3 linked regions of the Canis lupus familiaris genome follow. The protein of the gene in region 1 interacts with the protein of each later gene in a biochemical or structural test. Links are inferred from orthologs where the notes say so. Each region holds a gene or a part of one and is shown in the gene's direction. Other genes may lie near its edges.

What was found.
Region 2: the proteins of EHMT2 (region 1) and CBX1 form a complex in vitro, tested with the Homo sapiens proteins (2 studies listed by BioGRID). The link is inferred for Canis lupus familiaris from reciprocal best matches to the Homo sapiens genes EHMT2 and CBX1.
Region 3: of the proteins of EHMT2 (region 1) and LIG1, one has a biochemical effect on the other in vitro, tested with the Homo sapiens proteins (3 studies listed by BioGRID). The link is inferred for Canis lupus familiaris from reciprocal best matches to the Homo sapiens genes EHMT2 and LIG1.

Annotation. Positions count from the first base shown.
Region 1 is NC_049233.1:1,476,720-1,486,392, reverse strand, and holds part of EHMT2 (histone-lysine N-methyltransferase EHMT2), read left to right. Parts: intron 1-890; coding exon 891-975; intron 976-1,072; coding exon 1,073-1,113; intron 1,114-1,233; coding exon 1,234-1,389; intron 1,390-3,431; coding exon 3,432-3,569; intron 3,570-3,699; coding exon 3,700-3,814; intron 3,815-3,972; coding exon 3,973-4,074; intron 4,075-4,304; coding exon 4,305-4,453; intron 4,454-4,550; coding exon 4,551-4,694; intron 4,695-4,773; coding exon 4,774-5,009; intron 5,010-5,087; coding exon 5,088-5,270; intron 5,271-5,367; coding exon 5,368-5,450; intron 5,451-5,827; coding exon 5,828-5,934; intron 5,935-6,035; coding exon 6,036-6,158; intron 6,159-6,245; coding exon 6,246-6,347; intron 6,348-7,191; coding exon 7,192-7,296; intron 7,297-7,399; coding exon 7,400-7,554; intron 7,555-7,642; coding exon 7,643-7,810; intron 7,811-8,181; coding exon 8,182-8,326; intron 8,327-8,649; coding exon 8,650-8,727; intron 8,728-9,023; coding exon 9,024-9,139; and 3 more. UniProt on the Homo sapiens protein: Histone methyltransferase that specifically mono- and dimethylates 'Lys-9' of histone H3 (H3K9me1 and H3K9me2, respectively) in euchromatin.
Region 2 is NC_049230.1:24,328,977-24,339,131, reverse strand, and holds the start of CBX1 (chromobox protein homolog 1), read left to right. Parts: upstream 1-3,361; 5' UTR 3,362-3,466; intron 3,467-4,297; exon of another isoform or gene 4,298-4,525; intron 4,526-4,538; exon of another isoform or gene 4,539-4,612; intron 4,613-10,155. UniProt on the Homo sapiens protein: Component of heterochromatin. Recognizes and binds histone H3 tails methylated at 'Lys-9', leading to epigenetic repression. Interaction with lamin B receptor (LBR) can contribute to the association of the heterochromatin with the inner nuclear membrane.
Region 3 is NC_049222.1:108,840,182-108,849,854, forward strand, and holds part of LIG1 (DNA ligase 1), read left to right. Parts: intron 1-695; coding exon 696-806; intron 807-1,593; coding exon 1,594-1,665; intron 1,666-3,504; coding exon 3,505-3,649; intron 3,650-3,791; coding exon 3,792-3,874; intron 3,875-5,142; coding exon 5,143-5,295; intron 5,296-7,498; coding exon 7,499-7,552; intron 7,553-8,096; coding exon 8,097-8,240; intron 8,241-9,673.

The DNA of each region.
Region 1 (9,673 bases):
GTGGGGAGACCCAGGTAACCCACTGTGTACCCCTTGTGGACTTTTTTTTTTTTTTTTTTTTTTTTTTTTTACAGTTTAGCTTCAGACTTTTTCTCATCCCTTCAGGGCTCGCCATACTTACCTAGGGGCTACTGTGTGTCAGATTCTGGGCTGGGCTTGATCTGAACAGACAGACAAGTTTATATTCTTGGGGAGAGGGGAGTTGTAAAAAAGGTTAGAGGGGCACTTGGGTGGTTCAGTGGTTTAAGCATCTGGCTCGGGTCATGATCCTGGATCTAGTCCCACATCAGGGAGCCTGCTTCTCTGCCTCTGTTGCTGCCTCTTTTTGTCTCTCAGGAATAAATAAGTAAAATCTTTAAAAATAAAAAAAGGTTAGAGGATTACTGTTGTAGTTAATTGTCCCAATTATTCTTATGATAATGACTAAGGAACTTCTAACTTGCTTTCTACCTCAAAGCAAGCCCCAAGGGAGCTTTTTCCCTCCCTTTGAAACTCCCCCTGCTTCCTTTTTCAAAGGGCTTCTAAGGATTTTACTGTGACTCCCTACAGGGAAGGAGGGTGAGGGAAAGGACAAAAAGCCCCAGAATTTCAGAAGCTTTGTGACAGTGTTTTTGGGGGTTTGGGTATGGTTTAGGTAGCTTTGGGCAAGGCACAAACCTATTTTCTCATCTGTAAAATGGGTAAAGAGGGCCCGCTCCTTCGGGTGAGTGAAAAGGTGAGTGTTAGGTGTGGAATGTGCCTCATACCCTTCTTCTCGAGAGACAGCACTTCTTGTGATTGCCACATTCTGGCTTACTGGAGCTTCAGGTGACATTTTTGAGGGTGTGGCTCACCCTTGACTGAATGCAAATGCTCCCTGACCCTAAAGTGTGCTCCCTCTCTGCCACTAGCCTCCTGTCCCAGAGAAGCGGCCCCCTGAAGTGCAGCATTTCCGCATGAGTGATGACTTGCACTCGCTGGGGAAGATGACCTCAGGTCAGCGCCACCCCCACACCCCACCCACCTGCCACCTGATAAATCTTGTCCGGAGGGTCGAAGAACCAGCCTTATTCCTTTCTCTCTCTCCTTCCAGATGTGGCCAAAAGGAGGAAGCTGAACTCTGGAGGTGGCCTGGTGAGCCTAGAGAGGCTGAAGACAAGGCCTCTCCACCTGGGGGGGGCTGCATCCTGCCCTCAAGGGAAATGGTTGGGAAGGGAAGTACCAGCAGCTTCCATTTTTCTGATCTTTTCCTAGTCGGAGGAGTTGGGTTCTGCACGGGGTTCAGGAGAAGTGACCATGGAGAAAGGGGACCCAGGGTCCCTGGAGGAGTGGGAGACAGTGGTGGGGGATGACTTCAGCCTCTACTACGACTCCTACTCTGTGGATGAGCGTGTGGACTCTGACAGCAAGGTGAGAAGGAGCCAGCCTACCTCTCTGCCAAGGCTCACTCTCCAGTCTTTCCCACCCACCCACCCCCTTTGTCTCTCTTTCCTTTTTACCTTGTGACACCCCCTAATTCACCTTCCCATCCTCTCTGTAACTTCCTCCCTTTGTGTGTTCCACCCCAGCCCGGCCCCTCGCCCCTCTCCATTGTGGTAACCACCATCCTGGACTTTGGGTTTAGCATCCCATTTTGGTTTTGGGTTTTTTTTTTGTTTTTAAGATTTAATTTATTTATTCGTGAGAGAGACACACAGAGAGGCAGAGACACAGGTAGAGGGAGAAGCAGGCTCCACGCAGGAGCCCAATGTGGACTCGATCCCAGATCTCCAGGATCATGCCCTGGGCCAAAGGTGGCGCTAAATCGCTGAGCTACCCCGGCTGCCCCCATTTTGTTGTTTATCTGTGGTTTGTCTGTTTATTCTTTTGTTCTTAGTTTGATTTTATCTCATATGTTTGTATTTACCTATGTGACATAATGCGGTCTTCCTGACGTGCACTTTGTTTAACGTGTCAGGGAAAATTTCAGATATGCACAAAAGAGTAAATGGTGAGCCCTCATGGAGCCTCACCCTGCTCCCACAATTTTCAGGACACAGTGGCTCTTGATTCAGCTCTTCCTCCACCAACCGGCCCACCTCCCTGACTGTTTTAAAGTAGCCATCACATCATTTTATCTGGAGATGTTTCCATTTGTATCTTTAAATGTGAGACCTCTTCCTATGCTTTGATATCACTGCTTCACTGTTCGCAATCTGAAAAATGTGACTCCCGGTGACTACCAGTGACTCCCTAACACCATCACCTTGCTACTAGGGTTCATAATATGCCTTGGTGGTTTCGTAAACAGGTTTTTGTTTGTCAGATTTTCTTTTCTAAGATTTTATTTATATATTTATGAGAGACACAGAGAGAGAGGCAGAGACACAGGCGGAGGGAGAAGCAGGCTCCATGCAGGGAGCCCCATGCGGGACTCCATCCCCAGATCCAGGATCATGCCCTGAGCCGAAGGCAGCCGCTCAACCGCTAAACCACCCAGGTGCCACTGTTTGTCAGATGGGCTCCATATATTCGTTTGATTGACATTTGCCTTAGGTCTCTCTGGATATGGATGCCCTTGGTTTTGAAAAAGTTTTTTTTGCCATTTATCTGTTGAAGAAACCAGGTCACTTGTGATACAGAATTCCTCATGTTTAGGAATTCACTGATTGGGTGAGGACTAAATGTCCTCTCTGCCCGATATTTCATGTAAACTAGATCTAGAAGCATGATCGGCTTCGGGTGATTTGGGGTTTTTATTTTTTTTAATGGTGAGAGGATTTGATAGCTGGTGTGCATACTTCCTGTTGTGTCATATCGGGAGGCACAGGACATCTTGTCTTTTTATTAGTCATGTTTGAGATTGGTCAGTGAATTTATGGGATGTCGGGACGCCTGGGTGGCTCAGCGGTTGAGCGTCTGCCTTTGGCTCAGGGTGTGATCCTGGAGTCCCAGGATCGAGTCCCACATCGGGCTCCCTGCATGGAGCCTGCTTCTCTTTCTGCCTATGTCTCTGCCTCTCTCTCTGTGTCTCTCATGAATAAATAAATAAAATATTAAAAAAGAATTTATGGGATGTCAACCTCATCCTCGTTATAAAGTTTATCATTAGGTTTCCATCTAGTGTTTGGAGTGGCCATGGGTAGTTTTGCTTACATGTGAACTTCAAGACTTAAACTATGTGCTTGTTTTCTGAACTTTTTTTTTTTTTTTGCTTAATATGTTCCCAAGATTCACACACATTGTTGTGAGTTCTTCACAGCTGTCTAACATTCAGCTCACTTCCTTTTCCCATCCATGCTCACCTCCAGGGAGCCATCCTGGGACAGTAGTAGTAGCTCTTTCTCCAGCTTCACTGCCTTAGTCTTTGGGGTTGGATAAGTCCCTCCCTGTCTCTTTCTCAAGTTACCTGCAAGAGAGGGCTATGGGCTGGAGGTTGCTGTCTCCCCAGCCCTGCCTTGCCTCTCTCCCAGTCTGAGGTTGAAGCTTTGGCTGAACAACTGAGTGAGGAAGAAGAGGAAGAGGAGGAGGAGGAAGAAGAAGAGGAGGAGGAAGAGGAAGAGGAAGAAGAAGAAGAAGAAGACGAGGAATCAGGCAATCAGTCTGACCGGGTAAGGGCTCGCAGCGGGCATCCTGTGGAGCAGGGGGGACGCTGGGATTGGGGCCAGAGGTCTGAGTCCTCAGAGGGGAGGAGAGGTCGTGGGCTGGGGCCCAGGCTCTCTAACTCTTCCTCCATCCCAGAGTGGCTCCAGTGGCCGGCGCAAAGCCAAGAAGAAGTGGCGGAAGGACAGCCCATGGGTAAAGCCGTCTAGGAAACGGCGGAAGCGCGAGCCTCCCCGGGCCAAGGAGCCACGAGGTGAGGAGGCTCCTCAGCTTCTGGGTCTGCTCCTCCAGCCCCTCTCCCAGCCCCCAGAGAGCGTGCACAAACACACGCTCACGCATGTACTCACGCATGTACCCACGTGTCCAGGCACCTATGAGCTCGTGCTCTCACTCTCTCTGTCTCTATGTCAGGAGTGAATGGTGTGGGCTCCTCAGGCCCTAGTGAGTACATGGAGGTCCCTCTGGGGTCCCTGGAGCTGCCCAGCGAGGGGACCCTCTCCCCCAACCACGCTGGTAATTGCCAATTGCTGGGATGGCGAGCCACTAGGGGGCAGCCTCTGGGCTGGGGGGTACCGGGAGGAGGAGGAGGATCCCACTGGAGCCCAGGTGTCTGTCCTTCCATGGCCAGGCTTTAGGGGTTCTAGAGCATGAGGGAAAAGCAGGGCGGGGGTGAGAGGCCCCACCAGGGGTCCCCATGGGTGATGGGGATGGCCTCGCTCAGCGCCCTTTTCCCTCCGTCCAAGGGATATCCAATGACACGTCTTCACTAGAGACGGAACGGGGGTTTGAGGAGTTGCCCCTCTGCAGCTGCCGCATGGAGGCTCCCAAGATTGACCGCATCAGCGAGAGAGCTGGGCACAAGTGCATGGCCACAGAGAGTGTGGATGGAGAGGTGGGCCTGTGAGCTGATAGGAGAGGTGCCGGCAGTGGGGGGGACCCAGCCCCAGGCCCCAGCCTCACCCTCTTCCTGCCCGTTCACACTGCCACAGCTGTCGGGCTGCAATGCTGCCATCCTCAAACGGGAGACGATGAGGCCATCAAGCCGCGTGGCACTGATGGTGCTCTGTGAGACCCACCGTGCCCGCATGGTCAAACACCACTGCTGCCCCGGCTGTGGCTACTTCTGTACAGCGGTGAGTAACCAGTGGGGCAGACAGGCTGCGTGCCCCATGGGGGAGGGGTCTCCCGGAGCCTGAATGCCTTGTCTTCCAGGGCACGTTCCTGGAGTGCCACCCTGACTTCCGTGTGGCCCACCGCTTCCACAAGGCCTGTGTGTCCCAGCTGAATGGCATGGTCTTCTGTCCCCACTGTGGGGAGGATGCATCTGAGGCCCAGGAGGTGACCATCCCCCGGGGGGATGGGGTGACCCCACCAGCTGGCACTGCAGCCCCTGCCCCCCCACCCCTGGCTCAGGATGCCCCTGGGAGAGCAGACACTTCCCAGCCCAGGTACTGGCCTTCCCATTCCCAACTATCTGTTCCCTGCCCAACACCACTGCTGGTACACATCAGCACCTTCTCCCACAGTGCCCGGATGCGAGGGCATGGGGAGCCCCGGCGCCCACCCTGCGACCCTCTGGCCGACACCATCGACAGCTCAGGGCCCTCCCTGACCCTTCCCAATGGGGGCTGCCTCTCAGCCGTGGGGCTGCCACCGGGTCCAGGCCGCGAGGCCCTGGAGAAGGCCCTGGTCATCCAGGAGTCAGAGAGGTGAATGAGGGGTGGCTCTCAGGCATGGCGATGAGGGCTGGGGCTGAAAGGTGGGTTCCCTTTCTGAGACACCTACCCCTCTCCCTCACCATGGCAGGCGGAAGAAACTCCGTTTCCACCCCCGACAGCTGTACCTGTCAGTGAAACAGGGGGAGCTACAGAAGGTGATCCTGATGCTGTGTGAGTATTCCACTCATTCATTCATTCATTCTGCAGACCTTGATGGAACACCAGACCATACATGCCAGACCCCGGGCCCAGGGCTGGGGGTACAACAGTGAAGGTCATCATCCTTGCCCCGAAACACGGAGCGTGGAGGGGGAGACATACTCACAGATAACCCAGGATGATGGGGACAGTGGTGACGACAAACACGTAGGTGCTGTGTTTATACACATCCACTCACACCAGCCCTGCCAGTGGAAGCCCAGAGAGGTTAACTGCGTTGCCCAGAGGGCCCCCCACCCCACATAGCCTTCCTAGAGGAGGTCCTACCTGCCCCTTAGTCACTTACCACTTGTCCCTCCTTCTTCCGGTATGGCGGGCTCTCCCCACAGTGGACAACCTGGACCCCAACTTCCAGAGCGATCAGCAGAGCAAGCGCACGCCCCTGCACGCGGCCGCCCAGAAGGGCTCTGTTGAGATCTGTCACGTGCTACTGCAGGTCAGCTCGGACCAGGCCCTCTGTCTCGTGGACCAGGCCCTTGCGCCCCCTCTCTTGCCCAGCCCTTCTGTGATGCCAGCCCACATGCCCCCTCCTTACAGGCTGGAGCCAACATCAATGCAGTAGACAAGCAGCAGCGGACCCCGCTAATGGAGGCTGTAGTGAACAACCACTTGGAGGTAGCTCGCTACATGGTGCAGCGTGGCGGCTGTGTCTACAGCAAGGTGTGGTGACCGGGCCAGCTGGGACCTCGGGTCAGAAACAGGGTTTGAGGTGCCAGCAAGGGACTCATCTGCCCACATCTCCCTCAGGAGGAAGATGGCTCCACCTGCCTCCACCATGCAGCCAAAATCGGGAACTTGGAGATGGTCAGCCTGCTGCTCAGCACAGGACAGGTGGACGTCAACGCCCAGGTGAGTGGCCTGGCTGGCTGCCCAGCCAATTTCCTCCGGGCCCCTGGCTCAGCCCTGGCCTTTGTGCCTCCTGTCAGCCCCTGCTGATCTCCAACACTTCCATCACTCTGTTCCAGTCTGTCCCTATTTCTTGCCTTTTCTTCATTTGTATTTTTTTTTCCACTTTTTTCTTGTTTGCTTCTTTCTATGTTTTTGGAATGATCAGTTGCTGCCTTAATCTCTAGGAATGTGTGGCGATGCTTCTTATTACCTCTTAGTGTGTCATATGTTGGGTCTGTTTTAGCCCATTACTGTCATTTTTCAGTCTTTGAACTGTCCTGTGGTTTGTCCAGGAGGAACCCCATGAGCCTGGCTCCTGTGGCTTTTGGTCCCACCCAGCAACTTCTAAGAGCATCCTTACCTCTTAGTACATTTCCTGCCCCAGACTTGATCTACCATTTCTCTAAGGGACTCTGGTTCCTTTAAACAGGAAATGTTTTTTAGAGACGTGGTCTGTGTCCTCAGCAGTGGTTATTGCTATTGGGTTACCATATCCTAGGACTTTCGAGTGGAAAGACCTAAAAAATATGTGCTTTTTGGAAAGAGAAAAATTACTCCACAACTTTGAGCAGTAGACGCTATTAGTCACATGGGGTAGATCAAGAAGCTGAGACCTAGAGACGTTCAGAGACTTAGCCAGGGTCCTGTAACACATGAGGGGTGGAGCAGAGACCCCTGTTCCGAGTCCAGCTCTAGGGCCTGTGCTCTAGACCACGCACTGCTTGGGTAAGCTAGGCCAGCTGCTGGGTGGCCCCGGGCAGGGGACGGCAGCCCCTCACCCTCCTCCCTCTCTCCCGACCCACAGGACAGTGGGGGCTGGACGCCCATTATCTGGGCCGCAGAGCACAAGCACATCGAAGTGATCCGCATGCTGCTGACACGGGGTGCTGACGTCACGCTCACGGACAATGTGAGAGTCTGGTGGGGGTAGGGGAGATGGGGTCTGAGCAGAGAGGAGACTGGGTTCAGGCGCCCACGGCTTAGACCCACCCTCACCCCTCCCACCCACACAGGAGGAAAACATCTGCCTGCACTGGGCTTCCTTCACTGGGAGCGCGGCCATCGCTGAGGTCCTCCTCAACGCCCGCTGCGACCTCCACGCCGTCAACTACCATGGGGACACGCCCCTGCACATCGCAGCACGGGAGAGCTACCACGACTGTGTGCTGTGAGCCCCTGCCTGCCCCGCACCCTGACACCCTGCCGCCGGCTCGGCTCGTGGCCCCAGGCCCCACGGGCTTCCCGTCCCCTCCCAGGTTGTTCCTGTCACGTGGGGCGAACCCGGAGCTGCGGAACAAGGAGGGGGACACAGCGTGGGACCTGACCCCCGAGCGCTCCGATGTGTGGTTTGCGCTGCAGCTCAATCGCAAGCTTCGGCTTGGAGTGGGGAACCGGGCCATCCGCACCGAGAAGATTATCTGTCGGTGAGCCCTCTGTCCCCTCCCCAGGCTCCCCTGAATCCCCAGAGCCAACCCCTAACTAGGATGTCAGATACAGTAAATTAAAAGAGCGTTAAAGGAGGATTTCAGATGACCAGTGCATGTTTTTTTAGTGTTAAGAGCATCCCACATGGCACTGGGGACTTATCTATGGTAAAAAAAAAAAAAAAAAAAAAACTATTTATCTGAAATCCAGTTTTCGTGGGCTGTCCTCTAGTTTATTTGACCACCTTACTCCCCCCACCCCGGTGAGCCCCCAGAACCACCCCCTTCCTCCCACGGCCCCAGGGACCTCTCAGGCCTCTCCTTGCACCTTGTGGACCCCCTCACCCCAGCCCCCATTCCCCTTGTGTCAGGGATGTGGCTCGGGGCTATGAGAACGTGCCCATCCCCTGTGTCAACGGTGTGGACGGGGAACCCTGCCCTGAGGACTACAAGTACATCTCAGAGAACTGCGAGACATCCACCATGAACATCGACCGTAACATCACCCACTTGCAAGTGAGCTGCCAAGCACAGCTGGGCAAGTTGTGGGCCAACGAGCCACCTGGCCAGGGGAGTGGGGCTGGAAGGGACCTTGGGGGTGGGCCTGCATCCACTTGGGAGAGGGGTCCTTTCTTTAGGACACATGAAGGTCTACGGGCTCATGTTGGCCCTGGGTACCCCTGTAATTAGCATTTTGAATCCCCCTCATCCTGGGACCATCAGCCCCCACTGTTCTAAAGCAGTGATCTTAGAGAAAGGACAGTGGTTAGGGGTCAGGGAGCACTGTGGGGATAGGGCTGCTTCTGAGGATCGGGCTAACCCCCTGCCTCCTGCGCCAGCACTGCACCTGTGTGGACGACTGCTCCAGCTCCAACTGCCTCTGTGGCCAGCTGAGCATCCGCTGCTGGTATGACAAGGTGCGTGTGCTTGCCCCATCCAAGCCGCCTGTCCCTCTCTTCCTCCCTCATGAAAAGAGGGCAGGGCAAAGCAGGGGTTGTGGGGAGGGTGCTAGGGGGAGATGGGCCTGTGCCAGCTGCATGCAAATTAAGGGCTTGATGGGGTTCCTGTTGTCTGAGCTCCACATGTGTGGCCTCCCCAGCCTGTCCTCCCTCTCTGGTGGGTTGGGATCCGTGGTGGATTTTTCTGGGGGTTCCTTGGCAGTCGAGGTGGGCACCAGATAGAAACCACTTACTCTCCCCACCCTCAACCCCAGGACGGGCGGCTGCTCCAGGAATTTAACAAGATTGAGCCCCCACTGATTTTCGAGTGTAATCAGGCTTGCTCCTGCTGGAGAAACTGCAAGAACCGGGTGGTGCAGAGCGGCATCAAGTGAGGACCCCTCCTGCAGCCTGCCCTCACCCCCCCACCCCTGTGCCCCTCAAATGGGGGCTTTCCAGGTCCCTCCACCTAACACCACCCTCCCTCCCCACCCCCAGAGTGCGACTGCAGCTCTACCGAACAGCCAAGATGGGCTGGGGGGTCCGCGCCCTGCAGACCATCCCCCAGGGGACCTTCATCTGCGAGTGAGTAGGGGTCAGGGGGTCGGTGCCTAGCCACAGCTGACTCCCAGGTCTCCCTTGGCTCTCCTCCCTGGTGGGCCTGCCCCTTCACTGCACCTGCCCCCAGCCCACACAGACCGCAGAGCCTGATAGCCTCCTGCCACCACTGCAACATCTCCCCTCCCCTGCCCTGCCTTTCCAAGCCTGGAGACCTACAGACCCAGGTTTGAGCTGTGCTCTGCCACTGGGAATCCTTGGCCAAGTTCTTAGCCTGCTTGAGCTTCATTTTTTTTTTTTTTTTTTTTGTCTCCAAAATGGAGGTAATGATGCGGCCTTTCTGTCCATCTCTGTACGGGCCTTGCTT
Region 2 (10,155 bases), on another chromosome or scaffold:
GAGCTCCTTTCTATTTGCTAGATGGGATGCTGCCCAATTCATGAATGATTGAATGAAGCCAATTTAATCTTTAAATTTACTTAGTTGGATTTTGTCTTTTAACACCCAGAAGAATTGAAAGCAGGGTCTCAAAAAGATATTTGTACACCCATGTTCAGAGCAGCATTATTTATAATAGCTAAAATGTAGAAGCAACCCAAAGGTCCAACAGTGGATGAATGGATAAGCAAAACGCTGTGTATATGTACAATGGGATATTCTTCAGCCTCAAAAAAAAAAAAAAAAAGGAAATTCTGATACATGCCGCAATGCATGAATCTTGCAAACATTATACTACATGAAATGAGCTAGTCACAAAAAGACAAATACTATGTGACCCCACTTATATAAGATTCTTAGATAGTCCAAATCTTAGAAAGTGCAAAGACAACTGACAGAGGCTAGGGGGAGGAGGAATGGAGAATTTTTGTTTAATGGGTATAGAGTTTCAGTTTTACAAGATAAAAAGAATTCTAGAGATGGATGTGATGGTTGCACAACATTAGAATGCATTTAATTCCACTAAACCGTACACTTAAAATGGTTCAGATGGTAAATTTTGTTATGCAGATTTTACCATCATTTTAAAAATTGGGGGGGAATGGGAAATGAAACAAAGAATTTCAGACAGCAGGGAAGAAAATATTTCAAAAGTGCTGTATTTCCCCCACCCCTTAAATCACATGAGAAGCAGCTATCTGCTGTACCTAAAATAGCTACTGTTTATAAGTGCTAGTATATGTTATTGCCTTCATACATTACAATCCATCTCACAGAAATGCTGCAAGTCAGGTCTTAAGTAATCTTTCCATGTTTCAGATTTTTATGTTGGTTGAAGCTCAGAGAGGTTAAGGAGCTTGTTTGAAGTTACACAGAAGGCAAAAAGTAGAGACAAATGAATCCAGTTCAGCCTGATTCCAAGTCCTTGTTCCTTTTTGCAGTGTCCAACTTCCTCTCTTTCCCACATTCCTTATGATTTTAGAAACTTCATGTGAGAGACACATTTCCTGTGGACATGAGTAATGTAGACTTCAAATTTTGTCTTGAGCAAGATTCTGACTGAGCTGCCATTACCCTAAGTAGTAAAGATACTCTGAGGGCCTAAATAACTTAAAATGGCACCATCTAGGCAAAATGATAACTGCCTAGAGAGGCACAAGCATTTTAGGTATGATAAAGATTGACGCCATTATCAAGTGTTAGAAATCATCGTTGAAAAAATAAGGTCAAGATAGGGCACTGAGCGAGAAATCTAGATTACATTCAAATTGTTTAATAAATTTGTTTTAAAACATGGGAAGAGAAAAGAACTGAACCCATTTGATCCTAAAAGATTTTTTTCTTTTAAATATTTTTTTTTTTTCTTTTAAATATTTTATTTATTTATTCATGAGAGACAGAGAGAGAGAGAGGCAGAGAGAGAAGCAGGCTCCATGCAGGGAGCTCGACGTGGGACTCGATGTGGGACTCGATCCTGGGTCTCCAGGATCACACCCTGAGCTGAAGGCGGCGCTAAACCGCTGAACCTCCTGGACTACCCCTAAAAGATTTTCAAAAAAGATGTTGGTATGCAGGAACTTTAGGCTTGAGAGTTTGACATTCATCCCTGACAGAATTCCAGAATAAATTATTAACAGAGAGAGCTCTGAGTTGATTACAGATTAGCATAAACCAGTGGTGCTCTGCTACCTGAAAAGAAAAGGTGAACTTTGACTTCTGTAATTCAAGAATGGTGTAAAGCATCTGTGCAATGATTCCCTCTACTTGAAATACCCATATAAGGAGCCCAGAATTGGGACTCCTGGGTGGCTCAGTGGTTGGACATCTATCTGCCTTTGGCTCAGGGTGTGGTCCCAGGGTCCAGGGATCAGGATCGGTCAGCATCGGGCTCCCTGCCTGGAGCCTCCTTCTCCTTCTGCCTGTGTCTCTGCTTCTATGTCTCTCATGAATAAATAAATAAAATCTTTTTAAAAAGAGCCCAGAATTTACTAACAAACTATATGTGCTAGACCTGAAACTGTGTTCCTATGACGTAGGTTTAAGATAATTGTGACATTTAGCTGAGAGAAGACCTTGGGGGAACATAAGGGCTGAATTTCAATACTAGAAGGATATATGAAAGGGGAATTAGGTTTATAGAACACAACTGTGTGCAACCACACACCCAGAATTAGGAGGAAATGGTATTCAACATGGGAAAGCAGAATTCAGCTCACTATGAGGAATTAGGTATGGTAGCATTTCATGTGGGCAGAATTATGGTTTGGAAGTTAGAGATAACATCAGACTTCAGTTCTACCACCTTCTTGCTGAAGGTCATTGGTCACATTACACAACCTGAGTCTTTTCTGTAAAATGGAAATAGTAATTCCCACTTCCAGCATTGTTTAGGATTAAAAAACACTAATCAGGGCCTTAACAGGGGCGCCTGGGTGGCTCAGTCGGTTAGGCGTCTGCCTTCTGCTCAAGTCATGATCCTAGAGTCCTGAGACAGAGATGGCTCGGGGCTTCCTCCTCAGTAAGTTGTCTGCTTCTCCTTCTTCCTCTGCCACTCCCCCTGCTTGTGCATGTGATCTTTCTCTCTTTCTGAAATAAATATATATTTTTAAAGATTTTATTTTTATTTATTCATGAGGGACACACACACACAAAGAGAGAGGCAGAGACATAGGCGGAGGGAGAAGCAGGCTCCAGGCCGGGTCCCAATAAATATATACATTTTTAAATCAAGGCCTTAACAGGATTCCTAGTGCTGAGGTAAGCATTAATAGGAATAGTTAATATTGGGATCCCTGGGTGGCGCAGCGGTTTGGCGCCTGCCTTTGGCCCAGGGCGCGATCCTGGAGACCCGGGATCGAATCCCACGTCGGGCTCCCGGTGCATGGAGCCTGCTTCTCCCTCTGCCTGTGTCTCTGCCTCTCTCTCTCTCTCTCTCTGTGACTATCGTAAATAAATAAAAAAAAAAGGAATAGTTAATATTATTAGAACTAATTTTCTCATCGTTACAGTTATAAAAACAAAATAGGAGACTTTAGGAAGGAGTGAGTAGATGGACTTTTACTCTCCATGGACATTAAACCCAAATGTCTCAGGAAGAATTGTCCTCTTCTCTGTGCTCTCACGGCTCTTTTATTTGGTTGGGTTTCTTATACCACAATTCTCCAGAGCCCTGCACAGTGCCTGACTCAGCAAAACTGTTAACGTAAATACTCTGACGTGGAATACAGTAGACTGGGTTGGCTTTCTTCTTTACCTCTGATTAGGAGGCTATTTGAATATTCAAATAAGAAAGAAAAAAAGTCATGTTCTGGTAGTTCTATTTAGTTCCTGGTCAGATAGAAAAAAAAAGAAGAGTAAAGGAGAGAGAAAGAGAAACACTCACAAATCTGATGTGAAGAAAATGCTAATAACCTCCACTTTCCGTTAGGTAAGGAGATGAACATTTCATTAATGCATTTAATCATTTATTCAACAATTATTGCTTGACAACTGTATGCCAGGGACTATACTGGGCACTGGGTATAGAGTGGTAAACAACACGAGGCAAGATTTCTGCCTTTATGGAGTTTAGGGAACAGCACACACCAACTAAAGACAATAAAGTGGAGGAATGACATGAGACGGAATTTCCAGTATGAATAGGTTTGAGGACAGCGATATAGTTGAAATCAGAACTAAACCATTTGTCTCGAAGAATAACAAGAGGTGGTTTTCACCTCTTTCCATGTTTTGGGAGGTGGCTGGGTGAGGAGTGCTGGTGGGGATGAGCGGGCTCTGCACTAAAGCTCTCCACTTGGCACAGCCAACGAAAAAGGTAAGTTCGAAAAAGGTAAGATGCCACGATGACAACGACCAGGGGAACCTAACCTAGTCTAAGCGTCAGGCAAGCAAGACTCCCAAGGGGAAGTAGGAGCCTTACACAAATTTGAGGCAGAAATTGAGGATTACAGAGATTATTGGAAAGTCAACAAAACTCTGGTGAGACACCTATTCAGATTAAAAACTTTCGAGGATGTGAATTACTGCCCAGAAACGGTTGATTTTTCGGACCAAGCATCATGGGGGTCACTTGCGAAACCAGACGCTCTAATGCTCTAGGCTGCAGCATTCTAAACTACACTCGTTCCAGCGCTTGCAGTTTAAAAACTAAAACTCCCCGAACCCCTCGCCAACTCCGCGTGGTGGCGTAGGACGCGCGCAGCACTTCGGGTCTTGTAGTCTGGGAGGGACTCCGAATCCCATACGGCTGTGCGGAGGGTCGCCGCGCCTGCGCGGTGCGGGCGGCGGGCAGCGCCGAGTGCGAGGCTCTTTTGTTCGGCTGAGGGGAGGGCCGTTGGCTGGGGCCTGCGGTACGCCGCTTCAGTGAGGGGCTCGACTGCGGCCACCGGCTTGTTGCTTTTCTGGGCGCCACTCCCCCGGCCGGCCCGACGCGACGCGCCATTAGCGCGGCACCGATTCCTCTCGGGCTCTTGGGCGCTGCTCTGAGGTGAAGAGCCCGCTAGAGGCGGGGACGCGGGGGGGAGGCGCGCGGCGGCGGCGGCGGCGGCGGCGGCGGCAGCGGCGGGAGCCCTGGGTGAGGGGCCGCGCGGGCTTGCAGCGGAGGGTGGGAACGGGGAGCGCACCCGGTCCCGCGCCCTTCCCGCACGGGGCCCTCCGCCGGCTGCAGGGGGTCGGGCGCCGGGCGCGAAAAGGATGGAGAGGGCGGGGCGGGCGGCGTACTCTGAGCAGGAGATCGAGACGATTCGGGGTGGGCCGAGCCCTGGCGGGTCGCTCCTCGGGGCCTGGGTGGACCGAGACAATGCTACGTAGGTTGGGTGGGCTGCCGGATTGGGGGAAGACACTTGAGTACAGCGAGGAGGGGACAGGCTGGGCAGCCTTGATGTTTGGACACGGCGAGGGGAGGGCTGACGGCTGCGAGACCCTTGGCTTCGAATGCCACCTGAGAATTTGGGGTCCGGCCGGGGCTGCCAGCGGAATTGCCGCTCGCCGGGCTAAGGACAAGTAACTTCGAGGACATCTTCGAGGGGGCTGGGCAGTCCAAGGTGTGCTACTCGGGGAGGAGACCTGTTGGATAAACTGAAGAGGGGGCTAGGAGAGGAAGGGGCAGTTACGTGCCGAGTTGGATCTGGAGAGGGAGGAGCTGAGAGAGTAAGTAGGGCGGAGGCCCCGAGAGTGTTTCTGTGAGGAGTTGAAAGGGGAAAACCGGCCGCCTTTGATTCCTGATGGGTCCTCACACAGTGGGGAGGCTGTAAGAATAATGTGTGAAGAAAGGACAAAAAACCCAGATTTCTTCCCCCTTTCCAGGTTTTCTACTGCCTCAGCTCTTTTGATTCCTTCGGGGAGTTAAAAAAAAAAAAAAAATCCCAAGTGCAGCGCTTGCTTGGATTCACAGTTACATACGTTTTTATCTGGGATCGTCACTGGTCGCAAAAGACAGTGGTATTGTAGAAACGTGTAGATGGGTTCATACTTAAGGAATTAAGTTAGTGAGAGATATGTAAGATGATGTGGGAAATGGGGAGACAAAGAAGAAGAGTTAGTGAGATCGTGAGATTTGTTTCCTAGGCTCTTATGATTTTCTTGCTTTGCTTTGCTTTGCTTTGCTTTGCTTTGTCTTCTTTCTTTCTTTCTTTCTTTCTTTCTTTCTTTCTTTTTAAGCTAGCCTTTCTTTGTTGTTACAAAATTTGAATACGGGAATGAGCAGTACTTCTTCAAAGCTTCAGATGAAGGTTTTTCATGGATGGCCTTATATGCAGACTTGAATTGGTTTAACTCCATTGAGGTGGAGTTTACAAAAAGATCAGTGATACTGGAAAACTCTGGCCAGGGTTAAGATCGCCTCCTCAGTTGTATTAAGAATCGTGTTGGCAGTTTGGAATAGCTCTGAAAAGGTCCAAAGTTTGGAATGGAAACATGAATACAATTGGGAAATTAGTGCCTGTGTTCCTCCCTAGGTGCTTACAGGCATTTATATTGTAAGTGGTATGATTGAGTGGGAAACCCGTTGGAACTTGGAACTGGTCACACCTTAATAAAGCTTTAGCGGGGGTTCAGGATCTTCATTCATTTCCAGTTTTCCCTTTGGTGCTGTTATTCTTCTTTGGCTGCTGTAGCCTAAGTTTTTTCATTAAAGATGTAAATAGTGCGTGTAGCCTGTTGCTTCTAGCTTCGTGATTGAAAGGGACCAAGTAAGGATACCCTAGCCTTCTGCGTTTTTGACTGCGGGATACTGATAATTTTCTAACCAAATATCTGAAAAGAAGCAACCATTGTACTGAAGTGCCTAGGTGGCTCAGTCAGAAGAGCATGTTATTCTTAATCTCTGGGTCCTGAGTTCAAGCCCTATGTTGAGTGTAGAGATTACTTAAAAATAAACTTAAAAAAATAAAGTTAAAAAGCAACCATTATATTCTGTGCCCATTTTAAGGACTAGAAGAATGTTTCTTTTTGAGTTCATGCCATTTAAAAAAGAGAACTGATGCATTTTTGACATTTTCTAGTAGTTTCTCCCTCAGAATCTCATCTTCTTTATGTACTATCTCTGGTGGTATAACAGATACCACCAGATTGTACGTTAGGCTTGATTTTCATTTCATGGGTTATTTCCCCAAAGAGTTTTTGGAACAAAATGCTAATGGCTAGCATATGAACTCACATAAGATGGGGCTATACCTCTTGTTCTTCTAAATGTCTGGCACATGGTAGGTCATTCATATTGTTGAATGAATGGATATGGCTTTTAGATCCTTTCTTAGAATTCCATGTGCTAGCGGAAGGAGTTAATATGCACTTAAATAATTAGTTTTCCTGTCTTTGATCAATGACATTGGGTAGAGTATAACTGTTGTCCTTGTCATGCTTGTCCTAGCCTCAGTTTTTAATATACTCATCTTGGTCTGTAGATTGTGCAAGTAACAATTTTAAATACCTTAGGCAAAGACGAGAGGCTCCAGGTTCTGGGTTTCAATAGCAAGCTATAGTTTGAATATCTTGTTTTAAAAGTATCTTGAGGGACACCTGGGTGGCTCAGGGGTTGAGCGTTTGCCTTTGGCTCGGGGCATGATCCTGGAGTCCCGGGATCGAGTCCCACATCGGGCTCCCTGCATGGAGCCTGCTTCTCCCCCTGCCTGTGTCTCTGCCTCTCTCTCTGTGTCTCTCATGAATAAATAAATAAAATCTTAAAAAAATAAATAAATAAAAGTATCTTGAAAAATCTTTTGGGTTCTATGTATAGGGTTAAATAAATGGTATTTCCAGATAGTGGTGTCTACTGAAAAATTGAATAGACTGTCCAAAGTTAATTGGAGAAGTTACCCAAATATGAACAAAATTCAGATCATGTCGTTATATGAATTGACTAACTTGTATTAATTCATTCCTGCCTTTAGCTTTTATGGTTTACTGACCAAGAAGGGGCTACCTAATTTGTCTGTGAAATTGTGCCTTTCTCTTTAATAATAGCTAACACGTTGAGGGCCTACCCGAACTGTGGTATGAAGGTTAGTGTCAATAATCTGGTTTTGTCTTGTTATCTGTGAATGCTTTGATCTCTGCTTTTAATTCCAACTTAGCCATACTTCTGGCCTAGCTTTCTAATCATTTTTATTTCGTCTTAAACTAAAAGACTTGCTTCAGGTTATCACTGTGTCCTACTAATATTTGTCCATCCCTGTGGCCTCTCAACTGAAAGCTGTGTGTATAGTTTCATCCACATGAGCATACTGAAAGGAGTTAGCCAAGTTTCTGGACACATCTCAGATAAAATTCTCATTTTATTAACACATCAGTATTCTAGTCCTAGGTCCTGAAATTCAGGAGCAGGTATTCCTTTAAAAATGAAACTCCTGCTTACTGGGTATGTGGCATGAGTTCTTGTTTTCTACTCAGTAAAGTTTTCCATCTGGAAAGCATTTGCCTCCCAAACAGCCATGGTTAACAAACAGACTAACAGCAGTTTAGAAGCATGAGTCAGGAAGACTACACATTGAGTATATATCACACATGTCTTCACCTGCCTTTTGATGACTGGTACATAGTTGCTAATGCTTCAGCAAAGGTGTACTGCATATTTACGATTTTGGGCTTGCTGATCAGATTCCTCACTGATCATTCCCTAAAACGCTGACAGCTTTGGACATCTTTTCCCTGATTTTTGGAGTCAGACATCCATCCAACTGCCCATACAAGGTTCTACACATTACACAGGGCTCAGGCCTGCCTTTAATTAAGAGTAAAAATAGAAACAAAATGCTTGAAGAACCGCAAGGAAAAGAGAAATAATACTTGGCTAGGTTGGGTAGACTTCATGGAAGAAGTAGCATTTAAGTTCGGTCTTGAAGGATGGGTAGGATCTTGGCTGCTGGTGTTGGACAGGTGCCCTTCTTAATAATGAACAAAGCCTTGCATGGAGGAAATGTGCAAGATATGTTCAGGTTATAGTTTTAACAGGACTGTAGGTTTTGTGAGGGAGTAGAAGTATGAAATGGTTGGAACCAAAGGGTGTTAGATGTCACGCTGAGGAGTTTGATCTTTGTTTTAAGGAGGAGAGGGATCTTGTAGAAAATTTTTTAGCAGTTACCTACCATTTTCCTATTCAGTCTACTCCGCCCAAACTAGTTTACACACCATCTACCTCAGACGTGCCTCATTGCTTTTGTTCACAACAGTTCCTTGGGCCAAATTGCCCTACTCAATCCACCTTTTCAAATGCTGTTGGAGCCTGGCTTCAATCCCAACTTTTCAAAACCTTTCCTAATCACCCTAGCCATTTATTCTTCTGAGCCTCTGTAGTGCTTTTGTGGTTGCTTATTCTTGCTAATGTTTCTTTTGCTAATTATTATATACTCTTACCATTTATCTTAGTGAAATAAAGTTCAACTTGCATTGTTTTGTATATTTTATATTTCAGTCCTGGCTCTGGGGGCTTTGGGAAATTTTCTTTGCTTCATAAGCCTTAGTTTTCTCATTTATGAAATGGGTCTAATAGAGTTGCCATGAGGATTGAATGCCTTTATATGCATTAAGTTTTAAGTATTCAGTAAATTTTAGTTGTTATCATTATGTTGTTATTACTTACCATTAAGGGATTCTCAAAAGCCTGTGCTGCTTGTGTGGCTGCATATCCCACTGGCCTAAACAAACAGCTCCATTTGCCTGGGTCTGAGAGGGTCCCTCCCTGCAATGTGGAATTGACTCTCTGCTTTTTTCGCCAGAGTGAGTTGGTCACCCTGTATTTTTTTTTTTTTTTTTTTTTACATTTTTTATTTATTTATGATAGTCACACAGAGAGAGAGAGAGAGTCAGAGACACAGGCAGAGGGAGAAGCAGGCTCCATGCACCGGGACCCGATGTGGGATTCGATCCTGGGTCTCCAGGATCCCGCCCTGGGCCAAAGGCAGGCGCCAAACCGCTGCGCCACCCAGGGATCCCTACCCTGTATTTTTTAATAGATAATATTAAACGCTGGAGGAGCTGTAGTTATAAACTTTTATAGTTATGAATGCCTAGGTCTTAAACCTAAGCTGGAGGCAAAAGAGGCAGAAGGAAAATAAGGAATGGAAAAAGGAGCTAGATGAAAGGAGGAGTAACATGGGAAGTGGTATGCATAATAATTATCATCTGGTCCTTACCGGCTCCTCTTTCAGTCTTCGTGATTTCTACCTGGCCACATTTCTGTTCTTCAGATAAGAGCAAGCTCTCCTCGCTTCAGTAGGACTTTGGACCAGCTATTCCCTAAACTTGGTGTGTTGTTCTGATTTTTGCTGAGTTGTCTCCTTGTCATTTGGATTCTGTATAAACTTACTTAAATCTAACGATACTTACTTTATATTTATAGCATTTATAACTAATACTTTCTTGCTTATTGTCTGTGTTCGCTCTGCCTGCACATGTATGCATGCACATACTCCCACTCATGCTCACTCATCCACATTAGAATATAAATTCTAGGAGACCAGGGATTTTTGTCTAGCACCTTACACAGAATAGGTACCCAAGAGATAATTGTTAAATGATGAATACTGTACGACAGAGTTCATTGGAAGAATTAACCTAACCTAAACCCTGGGGCCTCAGGGAGGCTTCTGGCCATGACATTTTAGGTAAGGGAAGTGTTCA
Region 3 (9,673 bases), on another chromosome or scaffold:
GAATGGTGCCACCTAGAGTTGTGCAGTAGCATTCCTTTGAGGGAAAAGAAGTCCTCCCAATGGAGGTGAAGGATAATGACAGATGTTCTAGAGTGATTAGGAAGTGCAAAGGCTCTGTGGTTGGAGGGGCATAGCCCATTCACAAAACAGGCTAGCGTACTGGGGTGCAGAGTCTGAGGGGACCAGGTGAGGTGAGGGTGGGCCAGGGGCCGACTGAGGAGAGCCCCCACAGCTTTGGGAAGCCAGGTATGGCTTTTAGCAGGGATGCACTGATCAGATTTGAGGTTTGCTGAGGGCACCCTAACTGCTGTGAGGAGAGTAGTTTATATGTGGAGGCCATACAGGAATAGAGTGGACTGCTAGGATGATGTGACGTGGGCTGGACTGGGCTCAATGAGGTGGTATTCTGTAGGTGACTTAGAGATTTCAGAGGGGAAGTGGACAAGTTCACGGGGAACTGACAAAGGTCACTGGGTTTCCAGCTTATGGGACCAAGTAGTAAGTCTCAGAAAAGTTCATTTCCCCCCACTTACAGGGAATGAGAAGAGGGTCTGTGTACACATGTACATCTTTGAATTGACATCAGTTTTTTTGTGAATCTTGAGAAGGAAGAGCTGTAGAAGGAAAAGGACCTGTTTCTCTGGGCCTCATCCCCTACCTCTCAGCAGCCCTGGGTCTCCTTCTTCACTTTTCAGATTAAACTCCCGTCAGTCACGTCTTTCATTCTGGACACAGAAGCTGTGGCATGGGACCGAGAAAAGAAGCAGATCCAGCCATTCCAAGTGCTCACCACCCGCAAACGCAAGGTAGTCTCAGTCTCCCTCCACTACCTGCCGTGGTCACACAGTTTCTCCTCTTCCTCCTAGCCCTGCCCCACCCCAGAAGGACAGAGTGTTCCTCGGGATATGGTTCTTGCTGCCTTACAATGTGGCTGCCACAGCTCCAGCCATTGCATTCTCATCCCAGCATACCAAGTACAAAGGAGGAAAGAGCCTTTCTCCTATCTCTGTTTTTTTATTTTATTTTATTTTATTTTATTTTATTTTATTTTATTTTATTTTATTTTATTTTATTTTATTTTAATTTATTTTATTTTATTATTTTATTAATTCATTCATGAGAGGCAGAGACACAGGCAGAGGGAGAAACAGGCTCCATGCAGGGAGCCCGACATGGGACTCAATCCCGGGTCTCCCAAGATCATGCCCTGGGCTGAAGGCAGCGCTAAACCGCTGAGCCACCAGGGCTGCCCCTGTCTCTGTTTTATTATGAAAGATCTGTGCCAGGATCCCCACCCCCCCCACAACCTGTGCCCCACCAAACTTCTTTACCTTCATTGGCCATTAGCTGCAAGGGAGGTTGGGAGAGCAAATATTTGACAAAGGGATTGAGTTTGTTGGGATTAGCTGAGAGCCATCAGGTTGCAGACCCAGGAGCCAGTAGCATTGTCACTCTCACGGGTGTGTGGACTATTGCCTGGAGAGAAGGGGAGAGTGGTAGTGACAGGTGTCTGCCTGGGGCATGACGGGAGGCAAACCGACCGTGCCCCTGTCATCATTCCCCACCCCTGCTCCCCGTTCTGCCCCAACCCAGGAGGTGGATGCAGCAGAGATCCAGGTGCAGGTGTGTCTATATGCCTTCGACCTCATTTATCTCAATGGAGAGGTGAGTTCTGGCTGCATGTCTGGGGGTAGCCGGGGGGAGGTGGGGGCTGTGTATGAGCTTAGGAGCCGACCTTCTGAGTGGCCACACTGGGCAGTGATTCTCAGGGACCCCGGAGGGTCTCCAGGACACTCTCGGGGAAGTCTGTGAGGTCCTGCCTGCCCTTCCCAGCTCCGCAGCCATATGAGGCAGATTCTCTTCCTGTATGGCAGCCAGAGCAACACATTGCCGCTGTCTGAATGCAGACACACATGTGAGCGTCCAGCTCCATTAAAGCCAGACATTATAGAATCTGTAAAAGTATAAAGTAATGCCCCCTCTTCTCACTTTTTCTAACATAGGCACATTTCATAAATGACATATTATTGGGTTAATGTGTTGGAGTTATTATTTTTAAATGAATTGATAAACGTCAAGATTTCTCAGTTCTAACATAGCAAATGTTAACATGTGATATGATAGCTAATACTACGTCACTACTATGGTAAATATCCAGAGATGTAAGCCACGTACATAGAAGCTCTCTGGAGTGAGTCCTCAGCAGATTTCACGGGTGGGAGGGGGTCCTGAGACTGCAAAGTTTGAGAACTGCTGCTCCAGGGCATGGGTTAAGGATCTGGAGCCAGGCCACCTGCTTTGATATCCCAGCTCTCCCTTCCTGGTTGTGTGGCCGCAGATAAGTGACAGCCTCTCAGAGTCTCAAGTTTCCTTGTCCATGATAAAGAGCTGACAGTAGCACCCGCTGTACTTGTTATGGGGCAGATGAAGCGATGGGACCTGGGCATGAGCACAGTGGCTGGCTACATACGAGTGTTTATCCTCTAGAATGAGTTGCCAACACCGCCATCATCTTAGATAACTAACCTTTAACGATCTGGCAGCTGAATGGCCACCGCTTGCACTTGACTAATGAAATCAGGGTGATTTCTAATGGGCTGTGCCTGCCCATCAGGAGCATGGATGGAAGTGAAAGGGTGTGGTTAATTCAATCAAAGCTAATAAGATCGCAGAGAGTAGATTAACTTCCGGAAGGTGGGTAAGTCTGTTTCATAGTATAAGGCAAGCAGCACTTTCCCACGAATAGATTTGCTCTAACTCGGGGCTCAGTAGAGCAGGGCCTGCAGGCCGAATCTGTCTCGGCCTTTCTCATCTGTAAGGGAGGCTTTATTGGAACGCAGCCGCATGCCCATACACTTCTGCCCTACAGCCCACAGCTGAGCGGTTGTCACAAAGCCCCAGTAGCCCACAGAGCTCAGAGTATTGACTCTGGTTCTTCGTGCAACAAGGTTGCTGACCCCTGGATTAAAGTGGAAAGCATCCTCTCAGAAACACGTTTATCTCCTATCCGTGTGGTCATCGGCGCCTTTCACCTTTATTCAACCCGTGTTGTAAATGGAACTGTAGCCACAATAACGAGTCCATTCCAGCTCCATAAGGACTGTGGCCCTGTCTTATGCACCTGAGGTCACAGGACTGACCGGTCTCCAGCCCCCTAGCTGCCCTTTTTTTTTTTTTTAAGATTTTATTTATTTATTTGAGACAGAAAGAGGGTACAAGCATGGGGAGAAAGAGAAAGCAGGCACTCTGCTGAGCAGGGAGCCCCATGTGGAGCTTGATCCCAGGACCCTGAGCTCATGATCTGAGTCGACACTGAACCAACTAAGCCACCCCGGTGCCCCTCCCCTTGCTGCCTTTGACTTGCCCTTGAAATGGGTCCTCGAAGTTCTCAAAATCCTCGTGTGGGCCTGGTTCATCCCTGTCGGGGGCCTTCCTATCTCGTGGGAGCCCAGGCTTCTCTTTACCTCCACAGTGACACCCTCTCTCTTTTCCTGCCCTATGCAGTCCCTGGTACGTGAGCCTCTTTCCCGACGCCGGCAGCTGCTCCGGGAGAACTTTGTGGAGACGGAGGGCGAGTTTGTGTTCGCCACCTCCCTGGACACCAAGGACACGGACCAAATTGCCGAGTTCTTAGAGCAGTCTGTGAAAGGTATGGGGGCCTGGGGCAAGCTGCCATGTGTACTCCCTCTTGGCTGCCCCGCCCCGAGTGATTTCACTTGAAGCTGCTGGCTCCGGCTGGCTGGCTGTCATGAGCTGGGCTTCACAGAGGTCACTCTTTATGTCTCCCTCAGACTCCTGTGAGGGGCTGATGGTGAAAACTCTGGACGTTGATGCCACCTATGAGATCGCCAAGAGATCCCACAACTGGCTCAAGGTGCCCTTCCCAAATCTGGCCATCTTTCCATCTGGTTCCCAGTCCTCACTCCACCCTGTTTAAGTGTGGGAGCCTTTTCTCGGTCCCTGATGCCTCCCTGTCCAGCCAGCCACAGACCACCCCTCCACAAATCCTTGCTGCTGGACTCACCAAGAATCAGTTAGAACTGCCCCGGCCTGAGTGCCATGGAAGTTAGATGAGGTTTCTATTCTAAGTTCATAGCCCCTCTCTGTTGGGTGGGGCCGATGGGAAGGGAGGGAGTCAGTCAGGACATAAATGAGATGACATTGGGGGCGATGAGCATTGTGGAGAAAGCAAGTCAAGTCAGGGGCCAGTGAGGATCTTGCAGTGCTCTGGTCATCGGGAAAGGCCTTTCCAGAGTTGACTCTTGCGTTGAGGCACAGATGACAGGAGAGAGTCAGGCACATGGAGATCTGGGACAGAGTGTCTAGGAGAAGGGTGGGGGCAACAATTGCAAGGGCCCTGAGGTAGGAATGAAGCTCCGTGTGTGCAGGGAGCAAGGTGATTAGGGTGTGAGTCGAGGTCAGGGTGGAGGGCAGGCCTCGGATGACACAGCCCCTTGGGGGTCGTTAAATACCCTGGGTTTTCCTCTGAGGGTTTTGAGAAACCAATGGAGGTTTGAGACAGGAAGTCCTGTGGTCTGGTTGTCATTTGGCATGAGACATCTGGCTGGCTGAGGATGGTGGATGGTTGGGGAGGGTGCTGGGCAGACTGGGAACCCTTGGGCAGGAGGCTAGCCTGGAGAGGGGCGAGAGGACTGCAGCAGGAGATGAGCCGGAGTGGAGCCAGAAGGATTTCCCCGGTATGTTTGAGGGGCCTGTGGTCTGTCCCCCTGAGACTGTCAGCAGCTGGGAGGGTATGAGCGTTCCTGTCTTAGGACATTTTCCCTGCTACATACCCCAGGCTGAACTCCTGCCTGGCACTTTCTGGAACAAGTGATAAGTGTTTTCCATGTAAAGGAGTAAGTGGAATGTACATCTATCCCAAGGGAAAGGGGGACCCCCAGGGTCTCCATCTGACTTGTCCCCTCAGCCTCGCCAGCTCCTTCCCCTTCGCTCGTCTCTTTCCTATTTGTTCTGGAAGTCTAGGAGCTCCTCCCACATCCCACCTCAGCCTGGTGATGGTCCTCGGTCTCTACAAGAGCGCTCTCCTTTGGCTCACCCCGATGACCCCTGCTCCAGCATCAAGGAGCCTCCAGCAGTGAGGTCTGTCTCAGTGCCCCCTCACCTCTGGCCTTCCCTCCCTAGCTGAAGAAGGACTACCTCGATGGTGTGGGCGACACCCTGGACCTCGTGGTGATTGGCGCCTACCTGGGCCGTGGCAAACGGGCTGGCCGCTATGGGGGCTTCCTACTGGCTGCCTACGACGAGGAGAGTGAGGAGCTCCAGGCCATATGCAAGGTGCTGTGAGGCAGGAGTAGATTCGACTCCACCTTGGGGGGAGGGGTGCCTGAACCAAGAGGCTCTCGTGTTCTTCCTATGAAGGATTAAGTTTTTTTCTAGTTTTTATTTGCTTTTTCTGATCCTATAAGTAACTCTTGCCTTACATAGAAGTATGTGCTATTATAAAAAGATGTAAAGAAGTTGTGCCAGTTAAGAATTGAGTTTTGCTACAGATGATGACATAAAGGGATTTATTTTTCTCTCATATAATGAGAAGTCTGGAGAGGAGCAGGCGGCTCTCTGATGACATTAGGGGCCTAGGCTTCTGTCCCCGCACAGGGGTTTTGTCATGTGCTTCTGACCTCATCTTCATAATGTGGCTGCAGGGCCTCCAGCCATCACAGCCATGCACGCTCCAAACAGCAGGAAAGAGGAAGGCCGCAAGCAGAGGGATGTGCCCCCTACATTAGCCTCAGCCAACGAACAGCTTCTGTGACATGGGTTGGAATTTTGCTCCACGGCCCACCTCCCTCCACAGGGGAGCTTAGGAAATGGAGTGGGTTTTGTTTTTGTTTAAAGCTATGCACATTGGTGATCCAACAAATGTGAGGCTTTTGCCACAGAAACAGAATAAACTGTTACCCATTATTCCAGTGCCCAGAGGTAACCACTCATAAAATTTGAGGGAATGTCTTATTTATACTTTTACAAAGCTGTGATCTTTGTATATAAGGGATTTTTTTCTCCTATAAATAATGTTTTTTTAAGATTTTATTTTTTCATGAGAGACACAGAGAGAGAGGCAGAGACACAGGCAGAGGGAGAAACAGGCTCCATGCAGGGAGCCCGACATGGGACTTGATCCCAGGACCCTGGGATCACGACCTGAGCCAAAGGCAGATGCTCAACCACTGAGCCACCCAGGTGTCCCCTAAATCCCATGTTTTAAATACTGTCAGATACATATAAGTAACATGGTGATAAAAAACGTTAGAGTGTTTGCCCTCATCTTCAGGACTTTTAGAAGCACGAATGTGTTAAACTTAAAAATAAAATAGTCTGTTATTTTACCAGCAAAAATGGGTTTGTTCAGAAATAGCATAGAATTGTATTTTGGGACATACAAGCCTTGGCGAAACCGTAGGCTCCTCCTGCAAAGGAAAATAATGGTATTTTATGGGAAGAAGGAGGAAGTGAGAAGAGTTGTTTTGAATGAAAGTCTTGGGGGAAAAAAGCAGCTCAGAGGGATGAGGGTTTCTCAGGGGCTGAGTTGCTGTGTTGGTCCCGTTCTCAGATCAAAGTCTTGTCTTTCCCCGGGGGGCCCTGTCATGGATGGTTCTTTCCTATTGGTGGATTCTTCTGTTGGAGCCTATCACCGAATGTTGGCTTAGGCTCTGTAAGCGACAATCCCTCCTGTAACCGAAAGTTAGGGGGACCCTCTCTACTGGCCTCTGCCTCTGTTTTAGCGAGGTTGCCCAGAATTTTTCACAGTTGTTTGTGGAAGATGTGCTCTGTTTCCTGAACCAGCTCCCTGTGCTCGTGGCCTGCTGTGTTCTTGAGAGTAAATCAGCACTGCACACGATGCTTAGCCCAGGTGACCCGTGACAGACATGGTCTTAACAATTCGCAGAGATCATAGGGCACCGGTCCGGGGTCATTTTACACTATTTACCCAGAACGGTTTTCTGTGAAACAGCTTCTGCCGGAGAAGATATTTAAGGCTCTCCATTCAGAAAGGGCTTTCCGGTTGATGTTTATATCCGTGGTTTGAAGATATGCATCTTACTACGTTTGCTGGCAGCGAGGTTTTTTTAGGCTTGACGATTTGGGTGGGTGAAGGAAAATCTCTGGCATGTGGAGTTTGGAGAGGACATCCTGTTCCAGAGTAGGTGGGACTCAGGGGAGCCCAAGGGAGCGACACCTGGGCCAGGGGGATGGAGCGGAAAGAGCAAGGGCTTCTACGTCAAGCACAGGGCAGCACGTGGGCCAGGGGATGCCCCTGGGAGAGGTGTTACCCCACCCGGGGTCTGCGCCCAGCAACCCTCCCTCTGCCCAGCCCTTCCTCTGTGGTTTCTGTGGCCAGGGTAGGATGGGGGCCTCTGGTATGCACAAATCTGAGTCCTCAGTGGAAGGAGCAGGGGTCGGGGTGGGGGGGGACGCAAGTGGGGAATACTCAGCCACTGGTTGCACCTCTGACCTGCCCTCCCTGTCCTCCCCGCAGCTCGGAACTGGCTTCAGTGATGAGGAACTGGAGGAGCACTACCAGAGGCTCCAGGTGAGCAGCCTGCCTCTCCACCTCTCGTGGCACACTCTGTGGTGGTGGAGCTGGCTCCAGAGCCCCCCGTGTCCAGAGTTCAAGTCTCAGCTCTGCTGGCTGCTACAGTGCCCAGGACTTGGGTCAGGGAGCCTGCCTCCTGCCTCTGCTGCTGGGGGATGCGTCTCAGGGGAGCACTATCGCAGGGGTCCCTGAGTTGGCCCTGAGTGAATCCCCTAGTAATTGGGAGTGTTGCATGGTCACGGGTATTTGGGGGTACGACTCCCTTCCCTGTGTGCCGGTACTTCTGTCTCTGTGACATTCTTTGGTTCTCTCTCTCTCTCTCTCTCTCCAGGTCTCTGTCTCATTTCTTCCTTTCACCATTGCCCTCATCCCCACCCAAGCTCTTACCTTAAGACATGTCTATGTTGCCATCTATCCCCTTCCCCATTTTCTTCCCTCTCTCCTCCCTCCCTGACGCCCCAACCCCCAGCCTTGACTTTGAGACCTAAGACCCTCTCTCTTCTTCATGTCCACTGCTGTTCCCCGATGCTGTTCTCTGCAGGCCCTGGTGCTGCCCACCCCACGCTCCTATGTCCGGGTCGACGGTGCCGTGGCCCCCGATCACTGGCTGGACCCCAGTGCCGTGTGGGAGGTGAAGTGTGCGGATCTGTCCTTGTCGCCCATCTACCCTGCTGCCCGGGGCCTGGTGAGTAGGCTGGGCAGGGGTAGAGGAAAGGGGAACACCTCAGGCTCCAGGCAGCAGGAGGGACCCAGGGTCGACCTTCCAGATGGGAAATGAGGAGCAGGGGCTCGTGAGGGTGACACCTGTGCTCCGGGCTGATAGTAACTAGGAAAGCTTGAGCTTGCTTTTTATTTGGCTGTCAGATAACAGGGTCAGAGTCTCAATTAAAAAAAAAGAAAAGAAAAAAGAAATTCCCCAGGTACAAAAAGTAAACAAATTGTTTCCTTTAATACCCTAATCTCACATTTGGCTCTTCACTGATTTTTGAAAACACAGTTCCTCTGAGTAACAGTTTAGGACACTTCCTGCTGAGCAGTGATGCGGGCTGTGGCTCGTCTTTCTGAACCATAATTTGTTTTCATGCTACCACATTTTAAAATTCCCTGGGCTGGGATGCCTGGCTGGCTCAGCAGTTTAGCACCTGCCTTAGGCCCAGGGTGTGATCCTGGAGTCCCAAGATCGAGTGCCACATCAGGCTCCCTGCATGGAGCCTGCTTCTCCCTCTGCCTGTGTCTGCCCCCACCCCTCATGAATAAATAAATAAAATCTTAAAAAAATAAAATAAAATTCCCTGGGCTGATCACTCTCACCAGTGGTTCAGCCCTCAACACCAGCCAAAGGGTCAGCAGACGGGGAGGTACACTGCCCCTTGGCCGGTGCTAGGGCAGCTCTCTGCCTTCTCCAGAAGAAATGTGTTTTCTTTGTGATTTCCTACAATCTTTCAAAATCTAGGTAGCATGCACTTTTCTGATTAGAAATGGACTTCCTTTAAAGGCAGAACTCATATATTCATTTTTTTAAAGATTTATTTATTTTAGAGAGAAAAAGAATGAGTATAAAGTGAGAAGGGGCAGAGGGAGAGGGAGAAGCAGACTTGAGTCCTGCACAGGGCTCAGCCTCACAACCCTGAGATCATGGCCTGAACCAAAACCAAGAGTCAGCTACTCAACTGCTGGAGCCACCCAGGCGCCCAGAACTCATATTTTAATTTATTTTTTATTTAAAATTTTTTTAAAATTTTATTTATTCCTGAGGAACACAGAGAGAGGGACAGAGACATAGGCAGAGGGAGAAGCAGACTCCTTGCAGGGAGCCCGATGTGGGACTCGATCCCAGGACCCCAGGATCATGACCTGAGCCAAAGGCAGACGCTCAACCACTGAGCTCCCCAGTACCCCAGGACTCATATTTTTATTTTTTTATTTTTTTATTTTTATTTTATTTTATTTATTTTATTTTTTTTCAGGACTCATATTTTTAAATTGAATTTCTGTCTTGAAATGTCTAAGACTCCACATTAGACAGGGTTCCCTGGAGACAAGTGGCAGGAGCAGCATTTATGGAGCTTCTGTATGAAGCAGGTGCTGTGCTCACAGGCACGGCACTTGAGTGCACCT